Rattus norvegicus: one gene and its partners. The protein of the gene in region 3 interacts with the protein of the main gene of each other region in a biochemical or structural test. Links are inferred from orthologs where the notes say so. Each region holds a gene or a part of one and is shown on either strand. Other genes may lie near its edges. The genes, in order: Uba1, Rnf14, Ube2e3 and Rnf25.

What was found.
Region 1: of the proteins of Ube2e3 (region 3) and Uba1, one has a biochemical effect on the other in vitro, tested with the Homo sapiens proteins (3 studies listed by BioGRID, with this or other methods). The link is inferred for Rattus norvegicus from reciprocal best matches to the Homo sapiens genes UBE2E3 and UBA1.
Region 2: the proteins of Ube2e3 (region 3) and Rnf14 form a complex in vitro, tested with the Homo sapiens proteins (2 studies listed by BioGRID). The link is inferred for Rattus norvegicus from reciprocal best matches to the Homo sapiens genes UBE2E3 and RNF14.
Region 4: the proteins of Ube2e3 (region 3) and Rnf25 form a complex in vitro, tested with the Homo sapiens proteins (2 studies listed by BioGRID, with this or other methods). The link is inferred for Rattus norvegicus from reciprocal best matches to the Homo sapiens genes UBE2E3 and RNF25.

What each region holds. Positions count from the first base shown.
Region 1 is NC_086039.1:4,077,706-4,082,372, forward strand, and holds the start of Uba1 (ubiquitin-like modifier-activating enzyme 1), read right to left. Parts: upstream 2,985-4,667; 5' UTR 2,810-2,984; intron 1-2,809. UniProt on the Homo sapiens protein: Catalyzes the first step in ubiquitin conjugation to mark cellular proteins for degradation through the ubiquitin-proteasome system.
Region 2 is NC_086036.1:30,400,644-30,404,354, reverse strand, and holds part of Rnf14 (E3 ubiquitin-protein ligase RNF14), read right to left. Parts: intron 2,670-3,711; coding exon 2,539-2,669; intron 1-2,538. UniProt on the Homo sapiens protein: E3 ubiquitin-protein ligase that plays a key role in the RNF14-RNF25 translation quality control pathway, a pathway that takes place when a ribosome has stalled during translation, and which promotes ubiquitination and degradation of translation factors on stalled ribosomes.
Region 3 is NC_086021.1:84,246,172-84,248,868, reverse strand, and holds part of Ube2e3 (ubiquitin-conjugating enzyme E2 E3), read right to left. Parts: intron 731-2,697; coding exon 583-730; intron 1-582. UniProt on the Homo sapiens protein: Accepts ubiquitin from the E1 complex and catalyzes its covalent attachment to other proteins. In vitro catalyzes 'Lys-11'- and 'Lys-48'-, as well as 'Lys-63'-linked polyubiquitination.
Region 4 is NC_086027.1:83,618,299-83,620,909, reverse strand, and holds the end of Rnf25 (E3 ubiquitin-protein ligase RNF25), read left to right. Parts: coding exon 1-87; intron 88-808; coding exon 809-943; intron 944-1,107; coding exon 1,108-1,686; 3' UTR 1,687-1,762; downstream 1,763-2,611. UniProt on the Homo sapiens protein: E3 ubiquitin-protein ligase that plays a key role in the RNF14-RNF25 translation quality control pathway, a pathway that takes place when a ribosome has stalled during translation, and which promotes ubiquitination and degradation of translation factors on stalled ribosomes.

The DNA of each region.
Region 1 (4,667 bases), on a different chromosome or scaffold from region 3:
TTGAAGTCTGCTGGTGAAGTTGCTGGAAATGCTTAGATCTAACTTGGGTAGGAAGAGAATTGATAAACTGGGATGGAGACAGAGGTAATTCCTATTTTGCATTTACTGGCAGTGACTTGGCATGCAGATCTTATTTCCTCTAAGCCCATTTTCTCCAAAAAAATGGAGAGATAAGGAACTGTCCTCCTGATGAAGCTAAAGAGGCTATCTGTGGTCAAAATTCAAGGACCTGAGGAGAGAGGCTCCTCCCAAGGCACCCACAAGGGCCTCCATTACTTAGTTATCTCCTTTCCCTTGTCATTGGGTGGTTTGTTCCAGGCATATTCTTTCTCTACTCCCCACATCAGACAAAATCCAGAGCAGAGAGCTCTTTATCAGACCTTAACCTTTCCACCCCCACCCAGTGCTGGCAGCAAGGCTCTAAGTAAGCAGGTTTGGGATCACTGTTCAAAAGTAGACTTCAAAGCCAGGTGTGGCAGTACAAGCCCACAACCACAACACTTAGGAGGCAGAGCCAGGAAGACTCTTAAGTCTGAGGCCAGTCTGAATTATGCAGTGAGACTCTATTTCAAAAAAGAATATAGGAAGGGAGATTTCAAATGTCAGGTTTTGGAAAGCCCCTTTATCAAGGCAAGCAGAAGAATTTGGGACAGAGATTCTGGGACAAGAGCTAGAGATTCCCCTACTCCCATCCAAAAATAAAACCAAAAAGCAAAATACAAAAAAACCCCAACAATAAAAAACAAAATAAAACCAATCTCCATTCATTCTCTCTCAACATGTGCTCAGCCTTCTTTGTTAGAATTTATTTTCTAAAACCTACTTGGCAAAGCTGAAATTAAAGCATTTCAAACTTATCTGGGGTCTCCAAACTGATGACTGAAGCCTGAGAATATTCTAGAGCAAGACTGAGCAGGGGAATCTGGGTAGGCTTAGGAAGCAGAGCCAGCTGACAGATATTGTACAGGGGAAGATGCTGAGGCTTGTCAAGCTTCCTGAGAGATTTTAAATGAGAAGTCTTGAGGAGTGTAAGAAAGGCATCAGAGGAAGTGACTGAGCTCAAAGAGCTGTGAAGGAGATAATAAAAGACGCCTTATAAATGGTGGGGGTGTTGGACAGAGGTATTAAAGACTCAAACCTGGATTTCTAGAAAGAGGTGAGAGAATGTAGACCCTGAGACTACTACAGGAAGATTCTGGGGCTGACAGGCTTAGATTCTAGTGACAGAAACCCTTCAACCAAAAGTAGTGGGAATGCACAGAAAAATGACTTTGATGTTGACACTGTAGTGACAAGAAGCTACGAGATTAAGTGCTAAGAGGCTAAGAGAGGTCTCTGAGGGCAGACTCTTGGAGAGGGATTTCTAATGGAGCAACAAAGGCCTTGTGTGGATCTAAACAGGTACCACAGCTGCTGATAGGGTGAAGGGAAGATGAATTTCAGACAGTTCAAGCCTTAAAAAGGTTACAAAGAGCTAATCATGGTGGTATACACCTTTGAGTCCAGCACTAGTGAGGCAGACAGAGGCAGTGAAACTCTGTAATAATGATGATAATAGGTTACCAAGCAAATATTGGCTAGATCTCCAAATAGAGTTAGGTTTCTCTAATCAATTCTGTGACTCCATAGTAAATAGATACTGAGGTTTTCTACTCCTGTGGAAGATAAATGGGCCTGCTGGGGAGAAGGGGAGTGAAGTCAAAAGCAAATGCTAAGAGTCTCTGAATACTAGGAACCTTTAAAAAGAATGAGGGTAGATTCTGAGGCCTGTTGGTAGATTAAGGGATTTATAAAAAGAGAAACTAGAATGCTGGTCTGCCTTTGAAGGCAAAATTTGGGTCTAGGATGAGACCATCTGGCAGATGGGGCTACAAATAAAGAGTCTGAAAGAGTAGATGGTGGCAAGAGATCACTAATGGAGAACTATGTCCAAACAGGTCCTCCCCCGTGTCTAGTCCCCTGAGAGAAGAAAGGAAATATACTGGAGGTTAAGAATGGCTGATGGAGAAGACGATGCTTTGAGAACAATGAGAGCATGAAAAAGGGGGGAGTCCCTAAAAGCAGGGAGAGTCTCTAAAGGTAGATGCTGAAAAGAGTCTAAGAATGCCAGGCGTCCATGTTGGAGGATGCTATGTCAAAGTGGTATTCGGATATCTCAAATGTAGGAATGGGTTTCCCGCGGAAAGGCCAGGCACAGAGCTTTTCACCGGGTTTAATCCAGATGGCAGCTCTAAGGACAGATAGTATCCTGAGAGGGGGAGGGGGAAACTCTGGATGAAAATGCTAGGCAAGGCTCTTCTTTCGGAGATGAAGGCCACACGGACCTTTCCTGAAGTCTGGCCCCTCTTAAGCCATGAGGGCAAATACTGAAGGGCTAGGAAGAGTCTCAAGGGAGATTTCGGGGCAGGTCTTCAAATAGCACACAAGTATGGACGGCTTTCCTGAGCAGCGACGCCGAATTCCGGTGCCTTTATGGGAGACTGTGCTCGGAGTTCTGATAGGAAATGCATGGCTCAGGATTGGATCAAGATATCTTGTTATAGTGCTACACCCGAAGCCTCCAGAAGCAGAGATAAGGGTATGATGTCAAGGTCAGATTTCGGAGCCCAAGGGAATAGGGTGGTCCTAGACAAAAATGATCCATCCCGCCCCAGGATTTGCACACCCCCACACCCACTTGTCTAGTGATTCCTAATACCCAGGTCACCGCAGTGCACTCAGACATCGGGCTGGCAAAGAACCAGCAGGGACCCTCCCATACCTCCCTGAGCCCTTGCGCTTCGAGCCAGGTGCAGAGAAAAGCTATTACCAATGCCGGTTCCCCGGGTCGTGCCGCCGCCAACTCCTCAAGGAGCCGAAGTCAAGCTCGGCCGCCACCCTCCTCTTTCTCCTTCTCCTCCCTGCCGCCTGGGCCAGCTAGGATCACTGTCGCCTTCTCCTCCCCCGACCGCGGTGGTTGTGGTCTTCCTTGACACCCTCCTTCACCCCAGCAGCCGACACAAGATGGCGGCGGCAGAGCCCAAGGCCGGAACAAAACCCTGAGCCCCACCCCCAGAAACCCGGATGCAAGAGGACCGCGCCCACTCATGAATCATGTATTTTCCCTGCCCAGGTTGGGACTTCTTTAACTAGAAGGAAAACAGCTCCACCAAGTGGCTGTGGAGGCAGTAACTAGAAAAACAGGTAGAGCATGAGGCCATGCCCCATGAAATAGGAATAAAGAATTACTACAGCTAAGCTGTCAAAGAAATCAAGGAAGGACCTCAAAGCCATTCTTCCTAATCGTGAATTATGAAGCAAGGTGATGGGTTTACTAAGACTAGGCAACCAGAAAGAAGATGTTAAAGCATGCCAACCACACCCAATGCTCATGAATAATGAATGATCTTGCAGCTGCGGGAATCAAGGAGACCAAAGCTACATCTTATTCATGAATAATGCACGAGACTCAGTGGGATAGAACAAAAGAAGCAAGCCTGCCTTATTGCTCCATCTAATACCCAGTAAGCAAGAAACAGGGTCACTGCAGGAAAAAAAAGCACTCCTCTGCCTCCTAAATACTAAAGGAAGCTGCTGGAGCCAGCTCAATGTGAAAACAGAGAGGTCAAGAAAGGTTATACCTACTGGGTGTGGTGGTATACACCTTTAATCCCAGCAGTCAGGGCAGAAGCAGGAGGATCTCTGAGTTTGGGGCCTGTCTGGTCTACAGAGGGAGTTCCAGGACAACCAGAGCTACCCAGTCTCGAGGTGGTGGAGGTGGGTGGGGACACAAAAAGAAAGGTAGTGCACAGGCTGTGCTTACATGCATGGTGCCACAGGACTTTTCTCTCAGCACTGGGAAAGTGGAGGCAGAAGGCTCATTAGTTTGAGGTTAACAGGAAACCCTGTCTCAAAAAAAAAAAAGTACCAATCCCATCCAGTTCATGAATTATTCATGAGGCTTGATGGGCAGCTTCCCATCCAAGGTGGCCCTACCCAACAAGCGGAAATTATGAGACAATAGTCAAGGCATTTGTCATAAGGATATAAAGGATAACCCTGCAAAGCCAGAGTGAGCACAGTCCTTGACCACTTGGGGGCTTATCTTGTCTTAGCTAAATACAGACTCACTACATGCCTTTGAAGGCAATGATAGTAATGAAACTAATCCACCTCGGTTGGAGGTGTAGACTACGGATAAAGCACTTCAACACCCTCGGTTCAATCCATAGTATCATAAAAAACAAACAAACAAAAAAACCACAGCAATCCCCACCTCAAAAAAACCCAACCAAGACTGATGAAATGTGTTATGAGAATGAATACAGAAGGGCCCTAGAGCAGTGCTGCCACAAGGCCCTGTTACAATGTTCAAATATATGCAACTAAAGGTAATATTTGCATTAATCTAAAATTACTTAAGTTTGAGGGTATATCCAGCTATTACAGAACTTATCAACTTGATTGTTTCCAGATCAGAAAATGAGATTTGAGAACAAGAACTTACCTTGTGATTGAGTAAATGTGTAGAAAGGGTTTAGAAATAGTGCCTGGCACATAGTACTGTATAATTAGCCTGAGCGGTAGCAGCACTATTTTCTTAAAAGACGGGGTTTGTTGGTGTGCGCTAGCACAGCTCCTGTAATCCCACAGTACTTGGCAGGCTGATGCAAAAGGAGCACTAGTAC
Region 2 (3,711 bases), on a different chromosome or scaffold from region 3:
TGAAGCGACCACATTCAGTATAACATGAAATACCCTTCATAAAATGGTTATTAGAACTAATCAAACTTCCATCCAGATGTGGCTTCCAGTGTCAGCAAAGAGAAGACAGAGAAGAAAGCTAATGATGTCATGGAGACAAAACTCTAGAAATGTCACCTAACACTACAAGCTGGCTTAGAGTTTTTAAAGAGTCAGTTTTTCCTTGACAAGTAAGTAGTCCAAACATTATATTAAGAAAAACAGGGACTGGAGAGACGGCCCAGTGGTTAAGAGCACTGACTGCTCTTCCAGAGGTCCTGAGTTCAAATCCCAGAAACCACATGGTGGCTCACAACCATCTGTAATGGGATCTGATGCCCTCTTCTGGTGTGTCTGAAGACAGCTACAGTGTACTCCTATACATAAAGTAAAGAAATGATTTAAAAAAAGAAAAAAGAGAAAAAAGAAAAAGAAAAACAACCAGACTGAAGCTGACTAGATCCTGGCTCCTTAACTGACGGTAATAGATATTCTGAATGCTAAGAGGAAGGTGTGTTGTTTTTAAGATTAGTATGTGCTGTGCAGTTGGAGGTGCACATGTAGAGGTCAGAGGATATTTAAACTACCTTCATATTGGTTCTAGGGCTCTAACTCAGGTCATCAGATCATGAGCAGCAAGTGCCTTTACCTGCTGAGCCATCTTGCTATCCCGATGAATGGAAGTCTTAAATATGTTTTGATATATATCAAAACAAGATAGTATATATCACACTTAGTTATTTATTTTGAGAAAAGGTCTCTCTGGTTGGGGATTTAGCTCAGTGGTAGAGCGCTTGCCTAGCAAGCGGAAGGCCCTGGGTTCGGTCCCCAGCTCCGAAAAAAAAAAAAAAAAAAGAAAAAAGAAAAAAGAAAAGAGAAAAGGTCTCTCTATGACGCACTGGCTGTCCTGGAACTCACTATGTAGACCAGGCCAGCTTCAAACTCAGAGATCCTCCTCCTGTTTCTGCCTCCTGAAAGTTACAATTAAAGGTGGGCACCACCATGCCTGGCCACCATTCACTTTTAAAGTACTATCATTGCATAGAAACATTCTGGTTTTGGGGAGCTGGGTGTGGGAAGGGGATTAAACTCAAAGCTCCTACACATGCTAAGCATTGAACTACACCCTCAGTCTTACAGGCATTTTCTAAATTTAGGATATATAATGAAGTAACAGAGTGGAAGCATTGCCATAATTCACCCTCAAGCAGTTTAGCAATGCCTCTCTGAGACAGTAGAGAGAGTAAGTCAGTGTACTGTTCACTGTTTACTCACACCAGTCACAGCTATAGTCTCTCAACCTTTCTACACGCTAGAAAACTTTTACCATAAAAGGAGAACTAAGCTCAGTGTGGAGTAAAGGCAGGCAGATCTCTGAGTTCGAGGCTAGCCTGGACTACGGAATAAGTTTCAGGACACATGAGGCTACACTGAGAAACCTTGTCTTGAAAAACAAGCAAACAAAAAACAAACAAACAAAAAAAGGAGTACTGAGACTTCCAAGCCAGGGCGAGCCCCAGGGCCCATCAGACAGAGGTGCCTGCCCTGAGTTAGATTCCCAGGGGAAGGTGGCAGAAGCAGGTAACAAGTACTGAAAGCTGTCCTGACCTCACACGTGCACCAACACCAACACGCCAACACCCAAACCCTCCCACACAAATAATTTAAAACAGTTTTAAAATCCTAGACCAGCCTATATCACATATGCTTTGTCATTAAAAATGACGGGTAGGTGTAGGGGTGGAGAGATGGTACAACTGTTAAGAGCACAGCTACTCTTCCAGAAGTCCTGGGTTTGATTCCTAGCACTACGTAAATAGTGGCTTCACAACTATCTTTAACTTCAGTACCAAGGGACACAACATGCTTTTCCATACTCTGTGAGCACCAGGCATACATGTAATATAAGACGCACATGCAAGCAAAACACCCATAAACATATCCCCTCCACCCTCCCAGGCAAGGTTCCTCTTTACAGCCTGGCTGTCTTGGAACTCACTCTATAGACCCGGTTAGCCTTGAATTCAGCAATCTGCCTGCTTTGGCCTTTCCAAGTACTGGGATTAAAGGAGTGTCCACTACTGCCCAGCTAAGTATAATTTTTTTTAAGGTGAGGATAAAAAGTAAAAAATAAAATTTTACCCATTTTCAAGAAGACTTAAAAATCACATGTGGGAAAAAAGTTCTCCAAGTCTAGCTACTTTAGAAAAAAAAAAAAAAAAACTGGTATTCAGAAAATAAACCAGCCTGCATACTGGCATCAAAACATTCCGGATGGGCTAGGAAGATGGTTCAGTGGTCAAGAATGCTGTTCATTCATGAGGACAGGAGTTCGGATCCCAGTTCTCATGTGACAAAACAGGCATCCTGCAAACAATCTGTACTTCTAGCTTCAACTCTGACAGAAACCCTCTTGGGTCTCTGCCTATCCAGGGTACACCTGTGCATATACATGTCCTCATGCAGGCACACCTGAGTTTTTTTACCTGCTAAGTCTTAAGGAACCCTATGTGTACAAACCTGTTAAAGCATGGAGAATCAGGATCAGTGAAATGTTTGTAAGGGTTTGCTCTTGAGAGAGAGCCCATGCAAACCCAGCAGAAATACTGCATACAGCCAGTACAGGTCATCTTGTTGCAGCCGTCTAATTTCTGGTGGGAAGGAGAGACAAGAACAGTATCATGGTGGTAAAAGCAGAATACATGTGCCGGAAAACACACAGTGCACTTCCCCTGGTTTTTTGTCCTTTCTCAAGGAGGACTGCTGCACAGGCAACAGTGACAGCCACTTACGCTTACAACTTTGCATTGCAGGTAAAATACAGAAATATCGAGCAGGTCTTCCTATAACTACATACTTGGCAAAATCTCTCTTGTAAATAGACACAAGTGACACATAGGAGAGGAACACATAAGCAGATTAATTAAAACGTTACTTTATTTTCAGCACCAGAGATAGACACATGCCAGGCAAGCATTCTACCATAAGCTATATCCCTTTCCTTTTCTACTATTCACTTTTAAGACTGGGTCTAAGTTGTTCACTGGCAATCCTCTTGCTTCAGCTTCCCAAATGGCTGGGACTACAGGCTGGGCCTGAGTTCTAAATTTCTACACCAATCAAAACTAGTGGCATAAGCAGAGGCATATTTTATACTACCACGGGGCTCAAGCATGTCAGAAGTGACAAACATGACACAGCTCTCCTTAATGACGCTCTAAGGAATTACGAATTACCATCAGTTTCAGTAAAAACAATGTACACGATGAGAAAAATAAAACCAAATGGAAGGCCATGTTTTACAGATTTTAAAATCTCATGAATCTATGTTGGCCTTGAACTTGCTACACAGCTACAGGTGACTTTAAACCTCTGATTTTCCTGCCCCCACCTCCCAAATCAAGGACTCTTGGTATCCATTCTACAAAGAGTGAAGGGGACTATTTGACTTTTGTCATGTATGTCTAGTTTGTTGTACTGGAGACCAAACCCAGGGCTTCCTGACCTCCAGGCCAGCACTCTACCAACTGAGGTGTGTCCCCAGCCCCAGATCAGACTGTTTTACAAATACCAATTGGGGCTGGAGAGATGGCTCCTTGAATAAGAGCACTCCCTGCTCTTCCAGGGGACCCAGGTTTAATTCTCACCACCCACATGGGGGCTCACAACCATTTGTAACTCCAGTTCCAGAAA
Region 3 (2,697 bases):
AAGCTACATTTTTTGTTTTGTTATGCGTCTTAATCTAAGTTTCACATAAAGCTTCTATCTTATAATGCTAATTCAGAGTGAATTGTTCCTTGCTGGTCATACAGTAATGTCTATAATTGTAAACATAAGCTGACTAAAAAGTTACCTGTCATTTCACTTTAAATAGAATTTTGAAGTAAAAGTTGAATCTGAGGTTAAATGTTTATGTATGTACATATGGCACAGAAAGTGTGCCAAACAAAGCCAATACAGACACAGTAAAAGGTTTCCCTTCTGGACGCCAAAAATTCAGGATCCAAGCCCTGGCACACAACTGTTAACCCTGGTTTTCAGATAATGTATGTATGTCTTATATTTACAACTTAACATTACTACAGTGTGTATACATCCTTACAGATCCCCGTATCTTGACATACTATTGACAACTGTCTCCCTGTGAGTTCTGAGTTGTCTCATTCTTTAATACCTAGTCTCTTAGTGGACACTGCTTATTTCTGAGGCTGATCTTCCTAATGATAAAATTTATGTCTTGACCAACATTAAACAAACATTTTATTTGTAGATTCATAAAGATTTGCTTACCAGGGTTGCAATCTGTCAAAAGGGAACAAATAGAGAGCAAAACCTTTGAAATAGTCAAAGCGGGACTCCAGTTGTCTTTCAGAATATCCAGGCAGATGACTCCCTGACTGTTGATGTTGCAGTGGTAGATTCTGGTGCGGAAGGTAACCTACACAGCACAGCACAAACAGGAAGCAAACAAGTCTATCACCAGTTCATCCCAACAGCAACACATTACAGATGATACCAACAGCAAATTACTAACCAGCACTATTCTTACATTGGATCAGACAACAGCTAGTTTTCTTTAAGACTATTTTTAAAATATTTTAAAAGTTAAATAGTTTTATTTTAGTTAAAAGTATTGATTTTTGGTTTTATTTTGACTTAGAAAACTATTTTTAGCTCATTTATTTTTGTTATTGTAATTTTGTTTTTGACACAGGTCTCTAGGTATGTAGGTCTGGCTGGCATGAACTTGCTGTGCACACTGCCTTGGTTTCAAACTTACGGCAATCCTCCTGCCTCTGTTTTCTGAGTACTGGGACTATTGGCATGCACTACATACGATACCAGGTATTACCATGGCTTAAGAAAAAAGTGAATAGGTGAATAATGAATACCTAAAGAATGGTATTATGCATTTACACATGTACCATATACCATATACATATTTGTGGACATACATGAACATGGAAAGTGGAGAATATTTTGGCATCAAAGGTAAGAAGAAAGTATGAATGATTCTAGTAAAAGTAAGGAGTATCACCAACTCAGCCAAGCCTCTTTCTACATCAGAATAAAATGAAAGACTGGGAACAAGGCTGCAGTCACCATCCGTGCTACCTTCCTTCCTCTTAGTCACTCTCCTACAGACACTGACATAGAAAAGCAAAGTTTTCAGTTATGGGTCAAAGAAACTGGCATCTCTTTTTCAGGAATAAATACTTGTATGTTTCTAAGCAAATGCAAAAAGTAGTTGAGAAATAAATTCATCACTTGGACTTGTTGAAAAAAAGAATTTTCTGATCTTAGAATTTGCAATGTACTGTGAGCTTCAAAGAAGAATCTGGGAACAGGAAAAAATATCCAAAAGTGCTTTTTTGGGGGGTGGGGGCAAAAGAAAAGCAGGAAAAAAGGAGGAACACATTAACGAACTACCTAACATGGCTTAAAAGGGGCTACAGAGCAGTCATATGTGAATACAGAGATCTGAAATATACCATGTTTCAAAGACTCAGTACTAAAAAAGCCATAAAAGAACTTAATAATATTCTTATGAATATTACTTCCAGCATGTTGAAATGGTAATACTCTAGATATATAGGGTTAAATATACATTTAAAATTAATTCAGTTGCTTATTTATTCAATGTGGCTATGGAAACTTAAAATTATACATGTACTTTGTGCTTCCAATAGACAAGGTTGTTCAAGAAAAATGGAATACTTGTTTGTCCAAATGACTGAGCTGACTACATCAAAGACAGGAATTAATTTCAAATAAAACCAATATACTGAAATCTCCTAGTTATCAATAGTAAATAAACAAATTAATATCCAATAACAAAATGTTTGTTTCTCTTTAGGAAGTTCAACAGCTTAAGTGAACTCAAACACTATAGACCAGGCAGAAGTGGCACACAGATCTCTGTGAGTTCGAGGCCAGCCTGGTCTTTTCCAGGACAGCCAGAGCTACACAGAAAAACTCTTGTCTCAAAAAACAAAAACATATATTTGAGAGAAGGAGAGGAGAAAGTGAAAGAAATAAGTCTTATTACCAAAATATCACAAATTTTATTTATATTTTATTTTGGAATAGGGTTTAAGAATGGAAAAATCTGCCTTAACAAGGAGAGAAGCAACATTACAAAGTTATAAATGTAACACACTGGAACTTCTAAATAAACTTCTAAATCTATAAATAGCCACATACTAATAAAAATGGCACGCCATATACAGGATTATAGTTCAAAGCCCTTCTACTAAACAATTTCCACTTCCACTAATAGTGCTAAGGAAATGTAAGTATCTTTTAAATTACATTATTTCTTCCTCACATACAAGAATTATATCATACAACTATATCTTGTTAACTTTTCCCCTATTTTCTAAAGTATTAAAACCAATTTCCAAT
Region 4 (2,611 bases), on a different chromosome or scaffold from region 3:
GTCGGTGTGCAGTGTCCTGTGTGCAGGGAGCCCCTTGTGTATGATCTTGCCTCGCTGAAAGCAGCCCCTGAACCCCAACAACCCATGGTAAGGGTTTTCCTTCTGCTCTAAGCCAGGCATTCTCTAAGGAGAGAGAAGTGGCATCTTGTCTCTGCTGAATTCTCTGTGGAGTTGGGTTTGACTTGCTTAAGAGTACTCTGCAAAGCCACAGCCCCCACCAGGAGTCTAAGGCTTCAGAAGCCCAACTCTGAGGAACAAAACCAAGAACTGAGTATTGGGAATATGGCTCATTTGGAAGTGCACTTACCTAGCACACAGAAAGCCTTAGGTTTGATCCCCAGCAGTGCACTAAAAAACCTGGTATATGGTGGTGTACTCACAATCATGGCACTCAGGACGGATAAACAGTTCAAGGTCATGCTTGGCCATACAGTGAGTTTGAGACCATTCTGAGCTATATGAACCTCTTGTCTAAAACAAAACAAAAAACCAGGAACCTGGGCTGGAGAGATGGCTCAGCGGTTAAGAGCACCTGACTGCTCTTCCAGAGGTCCTGGGTTCAATTCCCAGCAACCACATGGTGGCTCACAACCATCTGTAAAGAGATCTGATGCCCTCTTCTGGTGTGTCTGAAGACAGCTACAGTGTACTTATATATAATAAATGAATAAATCTTTAAAAAAAAAAAAAAAACAGGAACCTTGTGCAGCTCCCTAGGACAATCCTAGAAGAGTTAGGGTTCAAGTCATCTGTCTGCTTTCTCATTTTGTTTCTTTTCCTCCTGCCCTTTTGCTTCCTTTCCTGTAAGGAGTTATACCAACCCAGTGCAGAGAGCTTGCGCCAACAGGAAGAACTCAAACGGCTGTATCAGAGGCAACAGGAAAAGGGTGGCATCATTGACCTGGAGGCTGAACGGAACCGATACTTCATTAGCCTTCAGCAGGTGAGGAAAGGCTCCCCCTTGGCCTCAGATGTCTCCAGAGTTCTTAGGAATGCCATGGCCCTAGGGTGTGCTTTCTTCTGCTAGCAAGGTTGTGGTTGATGATGGTTGCTGATAGTGGAGAGGGGTCCCCCTTGATGCATCACCTCTGCCTCTCTTCTCTCCAGCCTCCTGCTGCTCTTGAACCTGAGTCAGTAGTAGATGTCTCAAGAGGACCCCAACCACCTAATACCCTTTCTGCAGAACAATCTACTTCCCTAGCTGCCCAATCAACTCTGCCAACTCCTTTACCCATGGCTACCCAGTATGTTTATGAGAAGACTTCGGGGGCTGGGCCAAATCAACAGAGGCTGGGTGAGACCCAGAAATCCATGCTAGATCCTCCACGACCTGGTCGTGGCTCCTGGCGACAGTATGATCGGAGGCACCCAAAAGGCGGGGAGTGCTGCGCCCCAAAAGGTACCAGTGAAATCCAAGAACTGCCACCTCCTGAGAAGCCTCTCAAGGAGACTGTGGACTTAAAGGCAGAACCCCGTAACAAAGGCCTCACAGGTCATCCTCAGGAGAAGGGACCTGGTAGCTGGCAGGGCCCCTCAGCTCGCAGGACTCGGGACTGTGCTCGCTGGGAACGCTCCAAAAACCGTACACCTGGTTCTTCCTATCCCCATCTACCTCGGGGCCAGGGAGCATACCGGTCTGGTACTCGCAGGGAGCCCCTGGGCTTGGAATCTGAGGAAGGTTCCTAGCAGTACTGTTGGGGGACAGGGAACTGGGGTGGGAGGGAGGCAATAAAGAGATTTGACCTTTGCTTAACAGCAGCTAGCTTATGTGGTATGACTCTTTATGATAGGGGCTCCCACCTTTCTTGTAAGGCTGTCCACCAGAGACACTAGGGTAAAAGGGTCTTCCCTGCCAGTGTGGTCAGGTTTGAAAAGACATTTGTGCAGAATACTTAAGAAGTAACACAGCAAATAATTCCATCCATTCCCACATTTGCACACATGCATTGTTCAGCTGACTGGCTGGTGGTTTTGAGATAAGGTACCATGTAGCCCAGACTAGCCTCAAGCTTTATATAGTTGAAGAACTCCAGATCTTTCTGTCTCTATCTCCTGAGTGGTAGGATTCCAGGCCATTGCCATCATGGCCAGTTTGTGCACACCAGGCAAGCATTCTACCAGCTGAGCTCCATCCCAAGTACTTCTGTTGTTTTAAGGGGAAAGTCTCACTGTGGTGTTAGGTTGGTCTTAGGATTTTTTTTTTTTTTTTTTTTTTTTTTTTGGTTCTTTTTTTTCGGAGCTGGGGACCGAACCCAGGGCCTTGTGCTTCCTAGGTAAGCGCTCTACCACTGAGCTAAATCCTCAGCCCCAGGATTTTTTTTTTAAAGAATTATTTATTTTATGTATAGGAGTATGCCATCACTGTCTTCAGACACACCAGAAGAGGGCATCAGATCCCATTCCAGATGGCTGTGAGCCACCATGTGGTTGCTGGGAATTGAACTCAGGACCTCTGGAAGAGCAGTCAGTGCTTCTAACTGCTGAGCCATCTCTCTAGCCCGGATCTTAAGATTTAACACTCTTACTACCTTAGCTTCCCAAGTTTTAGAATTAAAAGTGCGTACCACATGCATACCTTTAATCCCAGTACTCAAGAGTCAGAGTCAGGCAG